Linked DNA regions of Pelodiscus sinensis. The protein of the gene in region 2 purifies or fractionates together with the protein of the main gene of each other region. This does not show direct contact. Links are inferred from orthologs where the notes say so. Each region holds a gene or a part of one and is shown on either strand. Other genes may lie near its edges.

What was found.
Region 1: the proteins of RHOU (region 2) and PAK1 purify together in Homo sapiens (co-immunoprecipitation; 5 studies listed by BioGRID and IntAct, with this or other methods). This does not show direct contact. The link is inferred for Pelodiscus sinensis from reciprocal best matches to the Homo sapiens genes RHOU and PAK1.
Region 3: the proteins of RHOU (region 2) and NCK2 purify together in Homo sapiens (co-immunoprecipitation; 3 studies listed by BioGRID and IntAct, with this or other methods). This does not show direct contact. The link is inferred for Pelodiscus sinensis from reciprocal best matches to the Homo sapiens genes RHOU and NCK2.

The regions. Positions count from the first base shown.
Region 1 is NC_134711.1:317,034,590-317,042,662, reverse strand, and holds the start of PAK1 (serine/threonine-protein kinase PAK 1), read right to left. Parts: upstream 3,049-8,073; 5' UTR 2,777-3,048; intron 1-2,776. UniProt on the Homo sapiens protein: Protein kinase involved in intracellular signaling pathways downstream of integrins and receptor-type kinases that plays an important role in cytoskeleton dynamics, in cell adhesion, migration, proliferation, apoptosis, mitosis, and in vesicle-mediated transport processes.
Region 2 is NC_134713.1:123,851,187-123,858,946, forward strand, and holds the start of RHOU (rho-related GTP-binding protein RhoU), read right to left. Parts: upstream 3,088-7,760; 5' UTR 2,444-3,087; coding exon 2,158-2,443; intron 676-2,157; coding exon 617-675; intron 1-616. UniProt on the Homo sapiens protein: Binds to and activates protein kinase PAK1. Plays a role in the regulation of cell morphology, cytoskeletal organization and focal adhesion assembly during cell migration. Also stimulates quiescent cells to reenter the cell cycle.
Region 3 is NC_134711.1:233,632,512-233,639,877, reverse strand, and holds the start of NCK2 (cytoplasmic protein NCK2), read right to left. Parts: upstream 3,055-7,366; 5' UTR 2,830-3,054; intron 2,781-2,829; exon of another isoform or gene 2,701-2,780; intron 1-2,700. UniProt on the Homo sapiens protein: Adapter protein which associates with tyrosine-phosphorylated growth factor receptors or their cellular substrates. Maintains low levels of EIF2S1 phosphorylation by promoting its dephosphorylation by PP1.

The DNA.
Region 1 (8,073 bases), on a different chromosome or scaffold from region 2:
AATTCAGGTATGACAGTTATCCACCTGCTCGTCACCCCTTAATTGATACATTTCTGTTACGTTGCACACACGCACGCGCGCACACAACACGCCAAAGTCTGGATCAAAGTATGAAAGAAAAGTAACTAATCTTTAAAGAAACTCAAGAAATAATGGAATAGCAGCATTAGCATCTTCCTGTATTCTGGCTGTCCCCTCTATATAAATAACTCCTACAGGAGTCAACTCAACTGTTCAGTGGACTGGACACAAGAAGGACTGCACCAAAGCCTTTCTGATGGCAGATCTACATTGCTAGGCAAGTCTGTCTAACCTATTTTACTCAGAATTGTGAAAACACACACACACACACTCCCCTGAATGATGCAAGTATAGTGACCTAAGCACTGTCTACACAAGTGCTATTACAAGGGTGACAGGCAGAACCAAACCTGGAACCTCTGGAGCTTACTGCATGAGCCTCTACAGCTTGAGCTAAAAGCCAATAAGGAAACTTATTCTCTCTCTGTAAGTGGTCTTAATGCCACTACATGGGACAGCGAACCACACCCAGAAGATATGTGGGTTACAACACTATGTCAGCAGAAGACACTCTCCCATCCTCTTCCACTATTTGATCTGAGGAAGTGGGTCTGGCCCACGAAAGCTCATCATCTAATAAACCATCTTGTTAGTCTTTAAAGTGCTACATTGTCCTGCATTTTGCTTCAGCTACCCCAGACTAACATGGCTACATTTCTATCACTATTCTCCCATCCTCAGAGCCTCTTCACCAGATACTCTACAGTGGTGCAGTTGTACCAATTTAGCAATTTTAGACCTTCCTTGAGCCTGAAAAGTGACAAGTACCCGCAACTGCTGCTGAGGTTCCTGAAGGATTGAGGGCACTGGAGACCTTGTAAGAGAAAGCCTAACTCATCAGGAAGCTGGCAAGATATGAAAAAAAATGCAATCACTAGACACAGCAGTTAAATACTGGGATTACTCTCTACTTCCCAATGGAAAGGACAGACCTTCTTCCTTCTGTTCCCTGATTTGCTGAAAGTCTTTTAGAAACATACCCCACTCTAGGAGATCCTGCCTAGTCACAGAACCGGCACTGCTTTTGTTTGGGTAAGGCTTAAGCAGTTTACCAATGCAGTCCTCACAATTATTACCACATATTACTAATGTACATATTGCTAACAAGAACATTTAAACGTCATTTTCATGGCTTAGAGTAGATGATGTTTCCCAAATATCAAGTCAAATTCAGAGGCTTTTTAACTGGCTTTCTTCTGTCTTTCTCCTCAGGAGAAACTCTTTCTGGAGCAAGACTGGGGATGAATAAAGACTGAGTAATTGCCTGTGGGAGCAAATGTTCTGTGGCATCCAGATACCTCACACAGCACTGTGATTTTTCAAGCCTCTGCAAAGAGGAAAGTAGCCAGAATCACAGCAAACATCATGAAGTCCTGTGGCACCTTAAAGACTAACAAATTTATTAGGGCATAATGTATTAGTTTTTAAAGTGCCACAGGACTGGTTTTTGCTGAAACTGACCTCTCTGAAAACTAGGGGACATCGGGTAGGTCTATGAAGCTTTCTGAATCTAAGCAATTCCACATTGCAGCCTTTATAGAGTTACAGAATGAGCTAAAAGCAATTCCTCCAGAAGAACCCTCTGCGGCTGGCTCCCCAGAGCAGCCTCCAAGAAAGCCACCCACTGAGGCACGCCCACGCGCCCTGAATTTTCACTTCATCGGATTCAAAAAGTTCAGTTCTCCTGCCCGCGTTCTCGCCGATCACCACGAAGAAGAAGAAAAAAAGACACAGAGGAGCTGCACTCTGCATTTTCCCAGCACACGCACACTCCGCTCCTGCCGCCGCCTAGACATACGAAGCCGGGAGGGGAGAATCCATCTCCATTCCCCAGCCACCCCACTGGTGTCCCTAGACAGACAACTCGCTCGCTAGACGTGCTACGCCAGCCTAAGGATCTCTGATCCTCACCAAAAAGCCATACTCCCTCCTCCCCACGCTGCTCACTAACCCCATCAAAAGCCAGACGTGCGCTCCGAATCGGGACGTGCTCTGTGGGGTCTCTGCTCACTGAGTACACGATCAATTCAGCGCTGAAGCTTCTGCCAGCCCCAGACACCCCCACTGTTTCAGTTCATTAGACCAAAAAAAAGCCCAACGCCGAACCCCACAACTGCCTCTTCGGGTCCCCTCGTTAATATACAAATCCGGGCGCCGCTGCCCAGGTCTCTCTACTAGCAGCGCTGAGAAAACAAGAGGTGAACCCCAGTTCTTGCTAGTCAATGGATCCCAACAGAGCCAGGAAAGGCTGAGGGGCCAGTTTGGGTCACACCCACCACCACCCCCCCAGACACAATCCTTCGGTTCACACTGGCTCAAGCTAAGGGGGTCTGGGGCAGACGGCAGCCGCCTTTGTTAAATGAATGAGCGTCCTGTGCAAGAGAGGGCAGGGCAGAAGGAGTCGCCCACCCCCGCTCCCTTGGCTAGCTGGGTCTCCCAAACTCCAGCCACGCGGCTTAGCTCGGAGCCCTGCTGTCGCCAACCCTGCCTCCCAGGGAAACTTCAAGGGACTCCGCTTGCGCTGCGCCCTGGTTAAAAACTTGCCCGCGCAGAGCTACCGGCGCAGCGTGGCAATGAACGAGGGTCGCTCTCAGAGCTCCCCCTGCCCGGACAGCCGCGGGGGAAGCCAAGATACAAAGTGCCCGGCAAGGCAGGAGGCGAGAGCTGCCCCCGCTCACATGCGCCCAGCACTCACCTCCTGGCAGCACAGGGATTCCCTTCTCTCGCCCTGCGGCTGCAGCTGCTTTCGCTTCCTCTTTCTCCCCTGCCCACTCCCCCCCTGGCTCCCTTCCTCGGTCCTCCTCGCGGCGAGACTCTCTCCGCAGCCAGCCCAGCAGGCTTGCCCCACGCACGCCCACTGCTCCTCCTCGAGCACGCCACCGCCTCCCCTATTGTCAGCGGCAGCACCTAGCTCAGCGCCGGCAGCAGCTCCCGGCCTCTCTCCCATCTCCCATTGGCTTTTCCCCGCCCTCCGCGGGGCTCCTCTCCCATTGGCGGCTGGGAGTGTCCGGCAAACCTCTCCACTCCCCCGTGCGAGCTGGGTTGATGGGGATTGGGAGGGAGGGAGGGAGACAGGAAGATGTGAGTGTGAAGCAAACAGGGTGATGTCATTTGGGAAAGAGGTAGAGGCGGCTGGGATTAGGGAACTGCTAAATGGCATCAGGAGCGAGGCATTCCCTGGCCAACGCTAATTCGAACTAGTTTTTAGTTCTAGATGCACTAGTTTGAATTAGCTTAGTTCAAATTAACTAATTCGAATTAAGTTAGTTTGAATTAGTGCTGTAGTGTAGACATACCCCCAGGGAGGGGCCAATGCTCCCCTGCTGGTGCAGGCGCGGTGGCAGTGCGCGGACCCGCCGGCTCCCCCGGCTTGCGCCGGGACCGCACCAGAGAGTTTGGGGCTGGCCCCCGTCTCCCTGCAGGCGGCGGCTCTGGCCATCCTCCCCCCAGGCCAGTGACAGCCCGTCACACACCCTCCCCCCCTTACAGTGGGGTTTCCCCCTTCCCCGCCTGGGTCAAACACCCGCGAGAAAAAGTCCGCGTTCTGGTGTTTTGCCCGTGCCCGGTATTCTACCTTGAACTGGTAGGGTTGCAGCGACATATACCACCGCGTAAGGCGGGGATTAGAATTTTTCATGGAGTTTAACCAAACTAAAGGAGCATGGTCCGTAACCAGTTTGAATTTATTTCCCCACAAATAGTACCTTAGGGTTTCTATGGCCCATTTCACGGCCAACGCCTCTTTCTTGACCATCACGTAGTTCGTTTCTCGGGGTAGGAGTTTCCGGCTCAGGTAAAGGACTGGATGTTCTTCCCCGTCATACTCCTGAGCCAGCACCGCCCCTAGTCCGCATTCGGATGCGTCTGTGCATAAAAGAAATGGTCTCTCAAAGTCAGGCTGTCTTAAAATTGGAGCCTAGATTAACCCGCTGGAAGGTCGCCGCTGCTCCATGTAAGCCGAAAGGCATTCGCCGAAACTGGAAGAGGCCGAACGGGGTCGCAAACGCGGTTTTCTTCCTATCTTGCGGGTCCAACGAGATCTGCCAATATCCTTTCGACAGGTCCAGGGTGGATATGTATTTAGCCCGCCCCAGACATTCTAATAATTCCTCCACCCTTGGCATGAGGTATGCGTCAAACTGCGAGATGCTGTTGACCCTCCAGAAGTCAATGCAGAACCGCACGCTCCCGTCACTTTTGGGGACCAGCACTATTGGGCTCCTCCACTCGCTTTGTGATTCCTCGATCATTCCCCACTGCTTCATTGCTTGTACTTCTTGCCGGACGGTTTCCCATACCTTCCTGGGGAGGGGTCTATGGGCTTCCCACACTACCCGCTCTGGCTCAGTACGTATACAATGTACTCCTACCTTCGCCGTTCCCGGGGTTGCGGTAAGGACATGACGGAACCGGTGTAGGAGATGTTCCATTTGTTGTCGCTGTTCTTCGGTAAGTTCGGGTCCTATGGACAGTGAGTCTTCCTCTGTACACTCTTCCCGGGATGGGCCAAGATCCTCCTCCCGGTCCACGGGTGCTGCCAGGAGTCCTTCCCTAGCCACCCACTTCTTAAAGAGGTTAACATGGAAAACCTGTGTATCCCTACGCTTCCGCGAGAGCCGTATCTTATAATCTACATCTCCGACCTTGCGGATCACCTCGTAGGGGCCCTGCCATTCCGCGAGGAGCTTAGACTCCTGGGTGGGTAAGAGCAACAACACTCGGTCCCCTGGCCTGAACGGGCGAGTCACGGCCGTTCGGTTGTAATAATGAGCCTGTCTCATCTGGGCCCTCAAAAGGTTTAATTTGGCATAGGCCCCCACCCGCCGCAACCTCTCTCGGAGTTGCAGGATGTACTGCACCGTGCCTTGACACCGGGTGGTCTGCGCCTCCCACTCCTCCCTTAGAATGTCTAAAATCCCCCTAGGCTAGCACCCGTACAATAGTTCAAACGGGGAGAACTCCGTGGAGGCTTGGGGCACTTCCCGGATAGCAAACAAGAGGGCTGGTAGCATCTGATCCCAGTCCCGTGGTCCTTCTTGCACCACCCACCTGAGCATTTCCTTTAAAGTGCGGTTGAAGCGCTCCACTAACCCGTCCGACTGGTGGTGGTACACGGACGTTCGCAAGGTCTTTATCCGTAGCAGTGCGCACAGTTCTTTCATCAGTCGTGAGGTCACGTTTGTCCCCTGGTCCGTTAAAATGGCCTGGGGGAATCCCACCCTCGCAAAGATTTTGAGCAGCTCGGAAGCTAGGGTCGGTGCCTTGGTATTGTGAAGCGGTACTGCCTCAGGGTACCTAGTGGCATAGTCAATGACAACTAGGATGAACCAGTACCCCATCCGAGACGGTTCCAGGGGCCCTACCAAAGCTAAGGCTATCCTCTCAAAGGGGATGCCCACAACCGGGAGGAGTACCAAGGGGGCCACCGGTACCCTGCCCGAGGAGACCTTCTGGCAGTTGGGGCAAGAGGCACAAAAGTCCCGCACCACCCTGTAGACCCCCGGCCAATAAAATCGCTGCAGGACACGGGCCAATGTCTTTTCCCTTCCCAGATGCCCGGACCAGGGGTTCGTGTGTGCCAGGTCCAGGACCTCCCTCCGCCGGCCCTGCAGCACCACTAACTGTCTCTGCTTTTCTTCCCCTTCCCCAGCCCCTACCAGACGGTACAGCCGATCCCCTATTACCTGGAAGAGGGGTCCCTGACGGTTCCCGTCGGTCTCTGCGGGGCCCTCTGCTTGCTCCCAAGCGTACTGCAAGGTTTCATCTCCCCATTGTTCTTCCAGGAAGTCCGGAGCATCGGCCAGCCTGTCCTCCGGGAGGCCCGCCACCGGCGTCCCCCTGCCCACGTCCGGCTCTCCGAGGGTCCGGGGATGGATGTAGCCCTCCGTCACGCGCATCTGCTCCCGCGGCGGGTCCGCACCTCTACGTAGCAGTCTTGCAAACCCGGGCCAATCTCTCCCCATCACTATCGGGCATGGTAACGCGGGCGCTTTCCCCACCTGCCAGACCTTTGCCATCTGGCCGTCGGCGAGGTGGACCCACACCATGGGGTAGGCTCTCCCATCCCCATGCACGCATTTCATCCAAGCAGTCTCTCCGGTCGCCGGGGCATCTCGAACCAGGTCCTCGCGTACTAAAGTAAGAGCAGAGCCAGAGTCCACGAGGGCTTTCAGGGGCTTCAGGCCGAGCCAGATGGTTACTGTCGGCCGCGATTGTTCCGGCGGGGTTCCCCCCGGGGTCATTAGGCTTAAGGTGCAATCCATTAGAGGACAGTCACGTTTGAAATGCCCATCCTGCCTGCATTGATAGCAGGCATTCCAACTCCCCATCCTATGGCTTTCGCCCGACTTCTCTTCCGTCCCCTTCCTTGCTCTCTCCTGGGTGTCTCCCGGCTTGCCTGGCCATATTGGGGCCAACCGTCGCCCCCCCCCGAAAGGCCGGCCTGGGGGGGGTCTTTGGGCGGGCTTGGTCCGCCACCTCGTGCCTGCGGTGCCTCCCGCGGGGAGGGGCCGGGTATTGACTCCCGCCGCTCCCCTATCTCACCTCCCTCTGCGTTCATATGGGCTTCGGTGAGGGCCTGGCTGGTGCCTCCCTCAACCTGGCTGGTGCCTCCGGACCCACTTCTGGGCTTCCTGGGGGAGAAGGTGCACGTACTGCTCCAGAATCACCGTTTCCGTGCTGGAGCGCTGCTCAGGCTCTAGCCAGCGCCAAGCCCATTCGCGCAGCCACTGTGCAAAGGCCCGAGGCCGCTCCCCGAGTTTGAATCGTTCGCACTGAAAACACTGGCGATACGTGTCACTGGTGATCCCTAGCTGATCCAGAATGGCTTCTTTTACTTTCACATACTGCAGCACATCCTGGGTCACTAAGGAGCCAACAAAGTGGCCCAGTGGTCCTCTGGCCATCTCGCGGCAGTGGCCACCCGTTCAAAAGTCGTCAGATAGGCTTCGGGGTCATCCCCCGGCCCCGTCTTGGTCAAGCGCAGGGGGAGAGAGCCCAGGTTGCGTTCGCCCTCCTCGCCCTGCCACACGGGCCCCCCTGCCACTCCGGGCGGGTGGGCCCCCTGTATCCATATCCATTTCTCATGTTGAGTGGCCAACTCTTGGACCAGCAGCTGCTGCTGGTCCTGAAATTGGGTTGCCAGTTGCTGGAGCATCTGGGCCCGCTGCTGCTGCTGCTGGTGCTGGGTTTCCCCCACCCAGTCCAACAGCTGTTGTGGATCCATTGTTCTGGTGCTCGTTTTCCTTTCCCTAGGCAAAAAACACCCCTTAACTCGAGTGCCAACTCAGGGGGTCGATACCCACATTCTCCACCACGGGTGAGGGGTGAGGGGTGCGATCACCCCCTCCCAGTACAAGAGGGGGGTTCTGCGGACCCCTTCGTCCTCTTCTCGTCCTTTGTCGTACCCCGGGTCCCCGCTATGGGCCCGGGCCCTTGGGTGTGATCACCCCCTCCCGGATGGAGGGGGGGGGTCAGCGAACCCGGAAATTGTCACTCGTCCCTGCGGGATGGGGCTTGAGCCCACAGTCTAAGTTCTCCCCGGCACGGGGTCCCAATTCGCAGTCTTGCATTCAGTAAAGTTTCTAGGAGCAGGACGCTCCTTCAGGAGAGGGAGGGGGACCGGTCCCACCCTCTCTCTGGGTCCCAGCCCTAGGCGTCGGGGCTTGTTTGCACCCCGGCGCGGTGGACAGGGGGTCACTCCCTCCATAACCCGTCCACCCACGGTCACCAAAAGCGCCCCACCCCGGGCTCCTTCCTCCCCTGGGGTCACAGCCCCAACCCCCAGGGCCTACCCTGGTTAGGCGGCTCGGGTCCTGGGTCATCTGGGCGAAGTCTCCAGGGAAAGCTCTCTTGGCTGGGTCCGCTCCCTCCGGGACCGGCGCGGCGGGGTTCGGTTGTCGTCGGAGAAGGGGCTGACCGACTGCCAGCTGTGGTGACTGTCCCGGGGGCCCTGGGGGCCGAGAACGGGCTGACTGCCGGCCTCGGTGACGC
Region 2 (7,760 bases):
ATGTAAGGAATGTGAGTTTTCAGTTGGGTGTGGAAAACTGGGGGCTTTGGGTGGCTTTAGCCCTCCCACTAAAAACTGAGGGAGCATCTTAATAATGGAAGCACTGAACTGTTTACAACCAGAGCTCATTTAGCTCATCTTAGTAACAAGTAAAGAAATGTAAATGTGGTACAAAACTACTGGTGAAATGGATATTCAACAGGGTTGGTTTTTTTTTTTTTTAATTTCCAGCCCTCTCAATAGTTACCCACAACCCTGTGCATGCCTTTGTATCTGTGCTCAATACACACATAATCTTCCCTCCACTCTCCTAGCAGCAGCACTTTTAAACCTAGAGATAATTTTAAAAAATAAAATTGTCAGCAGCAACAGGTCTGAGAGAGAACATACAGTGTCTGGGAGTTCAATCATACAGGGAAATTAACAGGGAAGCAGTCTGAACCCACAGCTAACCTTATACAGTGGAGCTAAGAATTACTTACTCTGATGGCAATTTAATAAGATGATCAAACAATGGGTATGCTTTAAAATCCATAAAGTCTTTAGTGGGACTGTTTTGCATGACACTTTGCCCTTCCCCCCTTGTCACTTAAATGTAATAAGAAGCTTCACTGACCTGACCAGCTGTGTCACAGAGCTGAAGTCTCACGGGTCTGCCATCAACAGACACAACAGCTAAGGAGAGAAGGAAGGAGAAAAGTTGAATGAGTTTGGCGTTACACATTTTTTAATTAAAAAAAAAGAAATATGCCTTTCCTTAACATTTGTTTTTCCTTCAATTAATTTAGATTTAATAACACGAAGAACTGGAACTAAGTCTGTCACTAACATTTAGGCTCATTACAAACCCTTCGGGGCTTTCCAATTCATTTCACTGCAGTTGATGAAGTAGCAAATCACTGAACTAAAGCTCTTTGATGACACAAAAAGAGTGATCCAAACAATTAGGTTACTTCTCCTGCGACAGAGGGATTTGTTCTCTTGTCATGTTTGTGTTTTCAAAGCTCTGAGTCAAAAAAAAAAAATCTTCCCAGTTTTAAATCACTAGGAAGACAATGCAAATATTTGTGTTTTCCCTTGGGAGCTTGACTATAGAATTTATCATTAAAAACAAGTTATCTTGATATGTAACAATGTGCTCACTGGCTATGGTGGTACCTTTTATAAGAGAGATCAGCCTTATTATTTCTTTCTTGCTATTTAAATATAAAACACTTATAACCATCCTGTAGGTTTCATTTATTGTTTTGGTTACTAGGCTTCACAGCATTAATTTTCGATAATACAGAAAAGTCATGCCGTCCAACCATTTTTGCAGCATTGAGAATGACTGCATTACCTTTATAGCTAGGCCTATTAGCCATTCCTCAGACATAAAATTCACCCAGAAGTGGATCATTTGGATCAGCCCGCTAAAGACTTAAAAAAAAAACCCAGTAGGAAGCTGGACACCCAGATTTGTGTCTGGAAGCTGAAAGTCTTGGGCCCAGATGACCTCACCACACTTTAAGAGTAGAGAGACTAGAGAGCCATTCATGTAACACCCTCTTGTGGCCCTACAGTCCGTCCCATCGATCTCTGCAGTCACCTTCCAACACAATTCAGAACAAAAAGAGGGAAGGAGATCAAGGATTTACTTCCTCCGTCCCCCCTCCCTGCCCCAACTAAAGGAGACAGGGTTGTGACACGCGGATATTCCCAACCTGACCTAAACGACCATCCTTAAACAAGTAAAGTCCTGTGCTGGCAGGCTGAACAGAGCTGTAAAATCTGGGCAGTGCACAAGCACAGAGCAGGAAAAGCAAGAGCCGCTGTATACTATTGGGTCAACACACATTCATCCTTGGGAAGAAGGGGCGATGGGTGGTAATGATGTTTCCAGGTGGGGAAGCCTTTCTCCTGCACTGTGGCTGCTCCCTTTCCTGCCTCCGGGGAGGGAGGGGGTCCCTTTTTCACTGGTGGCAGGTCATTTCACCCCTCCCTTAGGAAAATCCATGCAGCTCCCCCTAGAGAGGGGCGTATGGGGGTAGCCCCCTTCCCTCTGACAGTTCATCTCCAGGAGGTGGATGAGCGATCCCCAGGGGAATGCCCCCCTTCCACCCGCCCCACGCTCGGCTCCCCACCTTCTCCCCCTGCGGCGGCCCCCGAGCCCCTTACCCGAGAAGTTGTCGAAGGCGGTGGGGATGTACTCCGTGGGGTACCCATTCGTGGTGTAACTCACCACCAGGCTGGTCTTGCCCACAGCCCCGTCCCCCACCAGGACACACTTGATGCTGCGGCGCGGCTCGGCTCCCGCCCCGGCCCGGCATCGGCTGCCCAGGGCCGCTCCCAGCGCCGCCGCTCGGCTGCTGCGGACCCTGCGCGGGGGCACCGGGGGCACCTCGCAGCCGCCAGCCAGCGGCTTGCTGATGTAGCCCGCCTCCCCCTCCTGCTGCGGCGGCATCCGCCTGGCACCGGCGAGGGAGAGCCCTGCGAAGCGGGATCGGCGCCACTGGGCTAGGGCGAGAGGAGCTCCACGCCCAGCCGAGGGACCCGGGTGCCCGGCTTCTTCACCGCCCCCGGCGCGCAGCTCCTCCGGCTCCACACCCTCCCGCCAGCAGCCGGTGCGGGACGCCCGGGGCAGCCCCTACTCCGAGCCAGCGCCGTGCCCCGGACCCGCCGCTCAGCTCGCCCGGACAAGCGGCTCAAGAGCAGCCAGCTGCAGAGACTGGATGGCAGGGGCGCGAGGCCGGCCTTCCCGGGCGGCGACAGCAGCGGGAGCCCTGTGCACGCTGCACTCGCCTCGCCGCACACTGAGGTGCCTCCAGCCCCGGCTCTCCGCCTCCCCAGCACAGGCAGGCAGCCGGCGGCGAGGGGAGGAGCCCGGCGCTGGGGGGGCCGCGCTACAGGCAGCGCTACAGCGCTCCCTGCCGCCCCGAGCCCGCCCGCCCACCGCGCCGGCCACTGGAGCAGGAGCCCGCAGGCGGCAACTACAGCAGGAGCCGCTGCGGGGACCTGAGGCCGGTACAGCGGCTGTGCCGCTTCTCATTGGCCACTTCGCTTCCCCTTTGAACGCTGAAACAATCTGCGCCGCGGCCATTGGCTGGAAGCGGCCACCTGGCCGCCTGCTCTGCCCCAGGCTGTTCCGTCCGTCCCGGCTCCTTCCCTGCCGCTTGACCGTAATCCGCTTCCTCCTCCCTCCCCGGAGCCTTGCCCCTCTCCCCCATTCCTGCCTCGCTCTCTGCTCTCCTCCCGCTTCCATCTCTCTACTCTGGGTGGCCAGTCCAGGCCTCTTTCCACAGTCTGTCTTCTGCTGTCTATTCCTTCTCCCCCCCCCCCCCCCGTCTCCCCTTCCCTCTATCAGCTTCCCTCCCACTGACTATATTTTCTCCTCATTCCACGCTGTCCCCTTCTTCCCACCCCTACGGCTCAGCTGTAATTTTTGTAAAGCTGTCTAATCCTGTCAAAGCTCTGCCTGCCTCACCGAGGGGAACAAAGTTTCCGGAGTTAATTTATCAGTATTAATGAGACACATGAGAAGAGATTTATCTGAGCACAGCTAAAGGCTACATAAAAGGAACCATGTTATTTGATTTCTCCATTCCTGCTTCTCTGCCTCTCTGGTAATATTTAGGGCAATGTCAAAAACAGAGTTAATGCAAGTTTTTTTTTAAACTGGAAGTTCTCTTCATTGTGTTGGCACTTTGTGCATTTACAATACAAGAGCATGGGAATAATGACTACTTGATATGCTTCCACCTGTGAAAGAAATAAACTGGGACATTTGAGTTTTAACACCTTTAAAACAGTGACACCAAATCACAGGCTCCCCCTGTTGTTACAACATGATTTTTAAAGGGCTGATCCCTGTCTACGCAGGGCACCGAGTGAGGTTTCAAGTCACTGTAGCTAACTCACATTTTAGCACCATTTTTTTGAACATAGACAAACATTTGGCTACTATTTCAGGCCAACAGAAGAAAAGATCACAGAAGCAGAGGTGTGCTCTGTTTTATACTACCCTATCTCCATTTCATCTGAGCATCTTCCAATAGTATATTAAGTGACACCTGTGGTGCTGAAATGACCTGGGTGAGGGCACGGGTGACACTTATTAGATGACCCTGTTTTAACTCCCATGACAAATGCAAAGTTCTGTCCCATACCAGTTCATGAGATATCAACTGTAAGCAAAATCTCCTGTATATGGGAAACAAGATGCTGGCTGATATATTCCCAGAGTGGGAAAACGGATGACAACAGCTATTTTACTTGCGCTGAAAATAATTAAAGATTAATGTAAAATCACAGAAAATACTGTCTACTGCAAGTAAAAATGACATGGCTCCATTTTTAAATACCAACAGCAAACAAAGATGGCCTATTTACTGAGCTAAAGGATCCAGATAGACAACCATAATTGCTTGTATTGTTCCTGTGCTTTAGAGCAGGGGCTATGTAAATTCATAGCTGCATGGTTGCATTATATTGTGATGTGCCCTGTTGAATACAGTGGAGCCTTTTGTTAAAAGGGATGATCAAGCTGATTGTTGTGCAGTGGGGGAGTACTGGTTAAATAATTTGCATCTTGATAGCAAATCAAAGACTGTCAGTGCTAGCAGTTACAGTAGGGCTAAAGGGACATTAATGTCTAGTCTAGGATTTGTTCAGGACTATATAAATAGTTTGATTCATGAAACTGAAACTTCTGTGCTACAGCAATTGAATTACAAATACTTCAAAAGTATTACAGTCTAGCTTTAAAAATATTGGTCTGTGCTGTGCGCAGGCTTACATCCTCTTCAATCAGTAGAGTTGCACTCTGTACCAGGGCTGAATTTGGCCCATTATCAGTTGGTATGAAGGAAAGCATTCACCCTATCTTATGCCCTTGCACTAGTCAAATATTATTCTTTGAGAAAATGGCAAGAGAGGAAATTATTTCATCAAGACATGAAATAGGCCATTGTTATTTCCAAGCTTATCACTTTCCCTGAGACATTGAAATATGAGCTCCATGTTGGCCTTGTAGAACAAAAGATTATTTCCCCCCACAGAAGTTTTACAGCTGAAAATGAGAGAGACAAGGGAAAGAGAACAACACTCCACTGATATGCTATGGTACACAGTCTCCTGTTTTAATGAAGAGGCTGATTTGGGAAGCTTTCACCCAAATCCTGTTCGTGAGAGAGAGAGAGAGAGAGAGAGAGAGAAGGCACTTGCTGTGTTGAAAAAACCCATCTCCAGCCCAGCTACTTTTACAAAGGACATGGCATTTGTGGCCATGCTCAGCTGCACCAGCCTATGTGGCAGGCTATGAATGGGAGAGCAGAAGAAAGCAACAAGAGATGCAAAGCTGTTTGGGCAAGGAGAGGACATAAAGGATGGGGTGTTACTTGGGGCTGACGAGGGCACAGATATAAAGGGACTCTCTTGCAGTCCTTATTTTCCATACTTCTGTGTGCTGTGGTAATATAGAAGTACAAAGCGTCACTGCTGTTATTATTTATTTTGAATTATTATTTGAAGTAATGAAGAACCATGAAAAGATATACATAATAATATTCTCTAAAAAGCATGATGTTAAACTGGAGTTAAGATGAGAATACATTAGCGGTAACTTAAAAGTAAAAAGTTTCACATGCATGATGAAATTATCCTAAAAACAAGCATTGCAAAGCTAGGAAACTCAAAGTTAATCAAGGTATCCAAACAACCTAAAAACTTACTATCCACTTCAATTCAACTGATGAAGTCAGTTTTGCCCACAGAAGCTTATGAATCTGCGTATTTTGGTTAGTCTCTAAGGGCACATCTACACAGCAGGGCTGAACTCAAAATAAGCTACGCAACTTGAACTAAGCTAATTGCGTAGCTTAAGTCAAAATAGCTTATTTCGACTTTTGGCACTGTCTATACAGCAGTTATTTTGAGATAGAGCACTCTTCCCCCAACTTCCCTTACTTCTCGTAAATTGAGGGTTACAGGAGTCAGAGTATGAAGTCCTCCAGCTCAACATTATTTCGACAGTATGTCAAAAAAACTGCCTGTTGTGTAAAAGTAGACTATGTTATTTTGGAATAACATCAGTTATTCCAAAATAACTCTGTAGATGTAGCCTAAGGTGCCACAGGACTACTTGTTTTTAAATTTATAGATTAACACAGCTACCCTGAAGAGATATCCTAACAATCCAAGTAATTCCATGTGGAAAACCATCATGGAAAAAACTGATCTCATGTTTAAAAAAAAAAATCAGTTTCCTCTTGTCTGGAACCACAAATACTAAGAATTCAGAGCTACCAAATGTCATGTAACTCGTGTGTCATGCACATTATTGGCAGCTCTGTATATCTGCGGTGCCGCTCCCACCCCCCACTCCTGTATCTCTCTGGGCCACAAGATGGGACCAAAATGGTCCTTTAGGATGAAACTCAGCTGGCAGCTAGGGGTTGTCATGAATCTTGGCATATGGTGGCCTGTCCTCTGGCTGCTCCCCCTGCTGCTGGATCTGAGCAGGGCAGAAGCAGCTGGCATTGGCGGCAGCACCAGGTGGCCAGTTGACTGGCTGGGGACAGAAAGTGAGGAGCTCAGTAATGACTAACGCAAGTGTGAAAAATCGAGACACTTTTTTTTCCTGGAGCGGAATGAGAAGGAGTTTATAGTTGCCAGATGGACAAGGCCCCTAATATTAGGATTGTCACCTTAGTACTCACCAACAATAATTTTGTTCAAACCATGTTAATGGCATGGGTTTAACTGAACTCCAGAACAACAGTAATTACATGTATCGGGGGTAGCTGTGTTAGTTTGAATCTGCAAAAACAACAAGAAGTCCTGTGGCACCTTATAGACTAACAGATTTATTGGAGCATAAGTTTTTGTGGGCAAAAACCCACTTTGTCAGATGCATCTGACAAAGTGGGTCTTTGCCCATGAAAGCTTATGCTCCAATAAATCTGTTAGTCTATAAGGTGCCACAGGACTTCTAGTAATTACATGATGTCACATCATATAATTTGGTGCTACATAAGCTCTGGTTGCTGCAGGCCACCAGTAATATATTAAACTTCCATTTCATTTTGTTAATATTTCATAAGGTTCAACTCAACTTAGTATTATATTTCTGTCTGTGGGTTCCTACATGCTACATATTTGCTGGGCAAACATGTGGAGAAACAATAAATAGCAGTGTGAACGAAGAAATAAATCAACTCAACTGGAGAGGGTTTTTTTGAGATGAGAAATGATTGGGGAAAATGTATTTGGTACCGGTGCGGCATGTTATTGGAGAAAATGGGAATCCCAGATGAGAAGCTCACAGAGGAATGGTATGTTCATTTGGATGTAAATCTCTGGGGAAGCAAAATTCAGAATAACTGAAGATAAAAACAGGAATGATGTATGTTCCATGTTGGTGACTCACCACCAGACTCTGCTGATGAGTTTAGGAACCCCTGCTCGTTTCTTGACACCCCAGGTACCTGGCCCCCTCCTCAATCCTACTAGAACAATAATAAAATTCCCAATACACACTCTTAGCTGTTGCATTCTTTCCACTAGTTGATTGTTACAATGGAGGTAAAGGAAAGAGCAGAGGCCCTGTAGCCAGACACAAAAACCCCATCTTGTTTTTCCACGAGCCCCATCTTGTTTTTCCCCCCCAGAGAGCAAGAGAAAGGCAGTCAGCCTTTGATGCCCTGGGAACGCAGGTGTGGTGCCTGTCCCTGACTCTACCATAAACAGAAACCAGACAGTAAATGGGCTAGCTGACGACTGGG
Region 3 (7,366 bases), on a different chromosome or scaffold from region 2:
GATGCTGAGGAAAGCCTTAGAATCGGCAAAGGAATACACAACAGTTATCAAAGGAGAAAGAGACTGCAGTAAGACAAAATTATAGCAAAGTAGAGAATGGCAGACCTCTTTGTCCTAATCTCTCCCCTTGCAGCAGCCAGGAGGTGCTGGCAAAAGTGTAAAGTGATGTGGACCTTTCCTCACTCAATTACACATAGCTACCAGGAGACTTTCAAGGGGGAAAAAATAGAAATAGATAGTAAGTTCCCTATGTTACAACAGCCTGCGAGATGCTAGAGTTTCTAATTTATCAGACACCTACTACTCAGAGGTCAATATAAGGAACCATGCTGAAGGTAGATGACTAATTATAATTGTTGTGTTTCTTTTGCAGGACAGCAAGGGGAAGAAGATTTGGAAGCTCATTACATAGCTCAAGAAACTGGAATATGCTTTTCACCCCTAGGTAAATGATCCAAATACAGCAGAAAGATGCAGTGTCCAAATGTTTACCATCTGAAGACTGTTCACTGTCATGGACAGAATTATTTGCAAATTTTAGTATTGATGTTGGTAGGCAAGAGTGTCTCCAATCTCAACTCCTACTCACAAACATGTTCGGCACAACTGACCTCCTTGTTAAAAGTCTCAGCAAAATAAACAAGGAATGGTTATGAAGACTGAAATACCCTATCGTTCAGACATACTGATGGGATAACAAAACGAAATACAACTGCTTAGGTCAGACAGATTTCAGTTTTCAGAATTCTAAAAAGATCTTTCAGAAGCACTAAATTCACTAAGTTACATAAATCTTATTTTGTAGTTAGTTATGTCTATAATCGAAATATAAGAGTATTGGCATCGTACTGCCTAAACAGTGATGACAGCCTAAGGTTGCTTAAGATCAGTTGCAGCAGACAGCAGGGTAATGACACTAGGGTAATGACACTTCCAACCCTAATCTATGATTCTGATTTCCTCTGGGAAGAGACCTCAGGAGGTCATCTAGCCCAATCCCCTGCTCAAAGCAGAACTGACCCTAGTTAAATCATCTGAGTCAGTGCTTTGTCATACCAGGCGCTGAAAAGCTCTATGGCTGGGGAAAGAGATCCTTAAAAGGGATCCTTTTTAAGAATCTCCCATCTGGTACGCACTTAAAAACTTAGATTTTTCCTCCATTTTAAGATACTGGACAAAATTCTGGAGAACAAAAGCCAACTGTGGCAGAGCTGACCTGCCCATATGGTGTTACAACACCCCGGTTCTGTAAAGGCCTGATTTTCTAATGTACGTAAAGCTGCTACAGCAATAGTATGTCCTTCAGAGACACCACTCCAGCCCAAATAAGAAGGCGGGAACAGAAATGGAATCCAGATACACAAAGAGCAAAATTAAACAAAAAATGCAGAGGGGGCTCAAATTTTATACCACCACAGAACAATTTTAAGTGAAATTCAGTATTTAGTTCACAACTTAATCTCAATATATACAGCTTTTTACAGTGCAATACATACAAATTACATTACATGGGCTCAGAAAATTAATCGAAGTTGCAATTTTAACCTATTCCATAACCCTGCAACAGGATCTATGTCAATGAACCACAGTGCCAAAGTCTCACAGAAGTCTATCTGTAGGTTTGTATTTTATTAATCTAGAGTCAAATATTTAAATTATGTACTATTTGTCATTCCTCCAGTGCCTGTCAACTACTCAAAGAACAAAACTATATATATGGTACAGCCTTAAGTACTGTGTTATTTTAGTTAATATTACTGAGGATTAGTGGGGCTACCATCATCAATGTGAAGTATCAGCCTACTACAACATACTGATTTTAATAGCATTACAGGTAACACAGTTACTACAAAACACCGTTTTAGTTCTATATGCAAATGCAAACATCAGAATATTCCTATGTTTTAGCATTTGAAGCCTGTGTTGGCTTTTTTGTTTTAACTGTGTCAGGTGCTGGGTTTGACTTATTAAGCAGTTGCAAAGGGTCTAATATTCTCTGAACATGTTGTAAACATGTATAAAAACTATGTACAAAACCTAAGTTCCATACCTAGTAAACACATTAAAGATGCCATTTTTTTGTATATTAATACCCGTCACATTTCAAAAGCCATATTAAACTCTTCTGAAAACTTTACAGAATATCAACTTTCCATTAAAATATAAACTTTAATATTTAAGATGAATTAAGGACTTGGTGCTACTTGACCTAGGCTAGCCCACATTCCTAGTAATTTGACGATGATTAAGTCATTAAAAATATAAATGCAAATAATCAGTTTTGGCTGAGCAAACTGACTATTACACTCATACAAAATATCTCCTGGGTTACTTTATTGACAGGATTATCATGTACGTCCTAGCTGAGCACTGCTTTCTGCCCTTTTGGCAGTCGGGCTCCGCGCTACACAGGGAAACCTGAGCGGCACTTAATTTAAGCCACGTTAGAAGCAGCTCGCCTCCGGCGTCAGCCCGGCGGAATCCCAGAGCCGGGCTAGAGACGCCGCCGCCCGGCTCTGCCCCGCACGGACCGTGCTACCCAGCAGCGCCCGCTGTCAGCAACACTCGGGCCAGGACAAGGAAGCTCGTGCGGCTCCTTCGCAGCCCCGGCCTCCCCGCGGCCCCGGCGCCCGAACGTGGCAGCCAAGCCCCCGCCCCGCCGCCTCCTGCGGGCCCCGCGCTCGGCCCCGCCCTACTCACCCCGGGGCTGCAGGCCCGGTACGCGGCGGGGGGGGGGGAGGCGCTAGGCCCGGCAGCGCCCCCCGGGGCCGCCCAACTCCCCGGCAGCGGCCGCCACAAGTTTGCGGCGGATCCCGGCCCCGCTCTCACCTCGGGCCGGGCGGCGCTGGCTCGTGGCGGGGCGGGGGCCCGGCGCGCTCCGGCCGAGGGGCGGGAGCGGAGCAGCAATGGCAGCGGCGGCGGCTGAGGGGGGGGCTCCCAGGCGGGCTCCGCTCTTTGTCTCGGCGGCGGTTGGCGCGCGCGCTGCCCCCTCCCCGGCGGATTCTGGCTGCTGCGTCCTCGTGAGGGGCCGCGTCCCCCCCCCCCCTTCCTCTTCCTCCCTCCTCCCGCGGGCCGGCCGGACGTGCCCAAGGCCCCGGCGCTCCTGCCTCTGCTCAGCCCGGCGGCGGCGGCGGCAGCGACGGCCCCTCCCCCCGCCACACACACCCCTCCCCTTCCCTTCCCTTCCTGCCTCGGCCCGGAGGGGCGGGCCCCCGGACTCCCCCCCCCCTTTGCTCCGGCCGGGAGCCGGGCTCGCTCCGCAGAGGGGCGGCTCCCTCCCCGGCCCGCAAAGTTCGGGGAGGGGGAAGTGGGTCCGGGCCCGCGCCTAAAAGCGAAGCCGCTCCAGCGGCAGGACGGCCAGGATCGGGCCCCGCACACCTGAGCGCCGGGCGAGCGCTGCCCCAGGCGTGGGGGTGGGGGGGGGCAAGCTCGCCGAGCCCGCGCTGCGTGTGCCGGCTTGAGGGGAGCCCCCCGCAGCTCGCTCTAGTCTGTAAACTGAGTGCCACGGACCTGGAGCAAGTGGGAGAGCCGGTGTGCACGAGAGAAAAGATGGAGCCGCACAAAGCCGCCCCTCCACCCACCCGCGCTCTCCTTTTGAGTCGAGCTGCGCTACAGAGTTTGCAGCGTGATGTGTGCCTAAGGCGTCCTTGGCAAGGGACTCTGCCTAACGCATCCTCTTTGTCAGGGAGACGCTCGGAAGGGGCTCAGCCATTTCTCCCGCTGAACTGCAAATGTTTCCCCCTCATTCTCGGCCCGCTGACTTGGGGTTAGCTGGCGGGGCCGGGGACAAAGCGCTTCGCCTGCCCTCTAAAAATAGAAAGCATTCAATGTTATTCCCCGAAGTGCCACCCTAGGGAAGGGAACTTTCAGGAATAGCATCACAAGCGTCTAATCGAGCGGATTGGTCAGTGCGGTGAGGTCACTTGCAGAAGCTCTGCCTCCTGAAAGCTGGAGTGGAGGGAATATACCAGCTCAGAGAGCTTCCTCGTAGAAAGGTAAGGGGAGCCGTGCCTCTGTGCAAGAAGTTAAAGGCAAAACGCCATCGTTACTGCCATAACACAGTTGTGACTTTAAGAGCACAACAGTAGGAAATGCTTAAGTTTAGTCATCATAATCTTTATGTCCCTAATACATATCTATTATTTTGGATTATGTTGGGATGCTACAGTAAAGTAATACTTTTCATATGTAGTATGAGAAAATCAGCATTGCCACTTCCCATGAGAACCATACATTTTGCATTCCCTGGCTGTTTTTGCTATTGTAAACATTTAACTTTTATATTTTGTTAACAGATTTTTCAGTTTACTTTTCCTAGGTTCTCCTCTTCTCCCTTCCAAAAACAAAACGTGCAAAACCCAAATACTTCTGAAATCACGGATATCTCCACAAAAGACATACCAGTGTAATTGACACACATCTGTCCTGTTATGATTGCATCTCTACCTCAGTAAAGTGTGCCAAGTAGAAATCCTCATGCCAGATACATCTTAAATTAGTCAAGTAACCACTTTGTCAATGCATGTGCTGATTGTAGGTTCAGTGACAGGCTCTTGCTCAGCCCCATTGAAGTCAGTGACATTCAACTTAGGTAAAGGCATTGCCAGGATTTAGTTCTTAATTGTTTGATGCTTAATTATACATCTTGTAATGAAATAAATGCCTTTGCACACATCACTAGCACTATTAGTTTCTTTCTGCTTTAGAGTAATTTTCACTTTAATGTTCTTAGCAAAGCAGTGTTAGGGTTTCAGATATATTTGGACAATGTTTTTAAACAATATTATAAACTTTTAAATGTGGAAAAACTAACTGTTGTTGGTCTATGTTTTATAAATACTTAAGATAATTTAAAATTTAGGTCAAATCTTAAATGTGTGTATATCATGAACATTTCTACTGCCTATGCTCAAATCATCATTTTTAAAAGTTAATTACTATCAGCAAGTTCTCCATTAAAAGAAGTCAATGGGGCTGTGTCTACATTGGCAAGATTTTGACTTTTGTGCAAATTCTTGCCGCCTGTCTACACTGGCCGTGAGTATTTGCTCAAGAACACTGATGTTCTACTGTATGAAATCAGTGCTTCTTGCTCAAATACTCTTGACGCTCCAGCTCAGGAATAAGTCCTCTTGCACAAGAGGCCAGTGTAGACAGGTAACATCAATTTCTTGCACAAGAAAGCCCGATGGCTAAAATGGCCATCGGAGCTTTCTTACGCAAGAGAGCATCTACACTGGCACGGATTCTTTTGCGCAAAGGCACATGCCAGTATAGATGCTCTCTTCCGCAAATACTTTTAACGGAAAAACTTTTCCGTTAAAAGTATTTGCACAAAATCATGCCAGTGTAGACACAGCCTGGGTGTTTCCTTACTGATATCAAAGGGGGCAGAACTGAACTCCTTGTTATATAAGAGGCAGCATGGCCTGAAACAGTGGTTTTCAACCTTTTGGGGTCCCAATTTTCAAAATACTAGGAAATCATTACGCAGGAATAACAGGGAGCTATTTTGTGGGGATAAGTGCTAACCGGGTAGGACGTTGGAGCTGCTGGTGGAATCTTGTAGGGCAGGTAGGCAGGTGGATGGGGGCTGATAATTCTGGGTGCTGTGAGTTAGGCCACTGATGTTGCTAGGTGGGGGTTTCTGGGCTAGGTAAGAGGGACTGATACTGTTGTGTTCTTCCCCCCTCTCTCCCCTGCCTCATCCCCTCATTTTGAATGATCCTCACTCGTTTTTGTCCTAAAGTTATGTATGTTGTACACAGATTTGGTCTTTCCTCACTTTCACTACTGAAAATTATTTGAATCAGAATTAAAGAATTCTGAAACTGAAGTGATTCCAGGAATCCCACAATATTTGGAGCTTGGGATGTTGAAATGTATGTGCCTTCTCCCCATTAAATAGCACTCAGATTCCAGGGTATCATTGCTCTGGTTGCACATACACAGTTAATTCAGCTCCTTTTTTCTCTTGTACAGCTCAGCATTGAGGGATAGAAGGGAGATGGACAAATTCCAGTGTTAGAGGTGGGCCAGCAAGAGACGGAAGGGAAGTTAAGGAACTGCATCTTTCTTTTACCTTTTCAAATTATACCTAGCTCCTAGTACGCAAGATTTTTTTGGCCTTATCTGGCAACGTGTGCACCATAAGTACATAAGGGCGTGGCAGCGCTCATAGTATTGCCAATCTCAAATGTTCTGAAATAATGAGATAAAGTAAAAACACAGATTTGGTGTTTTTATTTACCTTCTGCTTTTGAGACTCTCATGTTTTGAAGCTTTCTCCACAGCCACAAAGGCTAGAAACCTACTTTTTCTTTAAGAATGAAGGCTAAAATCATCACTTATCCACTTGACTGTAGGAGCTGGGGCTTTAAGAAAAATAATTATGAAACTCATGGCAAAATCATGAAAGTTGGTAACATTCATCAATAATGGTCACACTATGATTGGAAGCTGAGATCCCAGAGTTCTAATCTTATGAAATAAACATGTCTGAATTATGGGTGGGACCCAACCAAATTCAGAGCCATGAAAAATGCATCGCACCCCATAAAAGGAATTTTCAACGAACTAAAAATAAAATTTTAAAAATCACCATCTTTGTTTCGCCTGCAACAAATCTCGGTATCAACTCTGCCCACATATCTACACCATCACAGGACCTAACCACATCAGCCACACCATCACGGGCTCATTCACCTGCATATCTACCAATGTAATATATGCTATTATGTGCCAGCAATGCCCCTCTGCCATATGTAAAGAATAAATGGACACCAACCAGATGTCAGGAATGGTAACCTACAAAAACCTGTAGGAGAACACTTCAGTCTCCCTGGACACACAGTAGCAGATTTAAAAGTAGCCATCCTGCAGCAACAAGAACAACTTTCAAAAACAGACTTCAAAGAGAAACTGCAGAGCTTCAATTCATTTGCAAATTTGACACTATCAATTTAGCATTAAACAATGACTGTGAATGGCCACTAGCCAACTGCAAAGGCAGTTTCTCCTCTCTTGATTTTCACACCTCCACATCATCTGCTAGAAGTGGGCCACATCCTCCATGACTGAATTAACCTCGTTATCTCTGGCCTTCCTCTTGATTGGTTCTCCCTTCTTTTCATGTGCCTGTATATTTATACCTGTCTCTGGAATTTCCACTACATGCATCTGACAAAGTGGGTCTTTGCTCACAAAGATTATGCTCCAATAAATCTGTTAGTCTATAAGGTGCCAAACTCCTCATTGTTTATGCAGATTCAGGCTACCCCTCTGATACTCATCTTTGGACAAAAGAAAAACCATGGAAAATTTCAGCCTACAAGATTTGTTTCACAAAGTTATGATTTGGGATCTG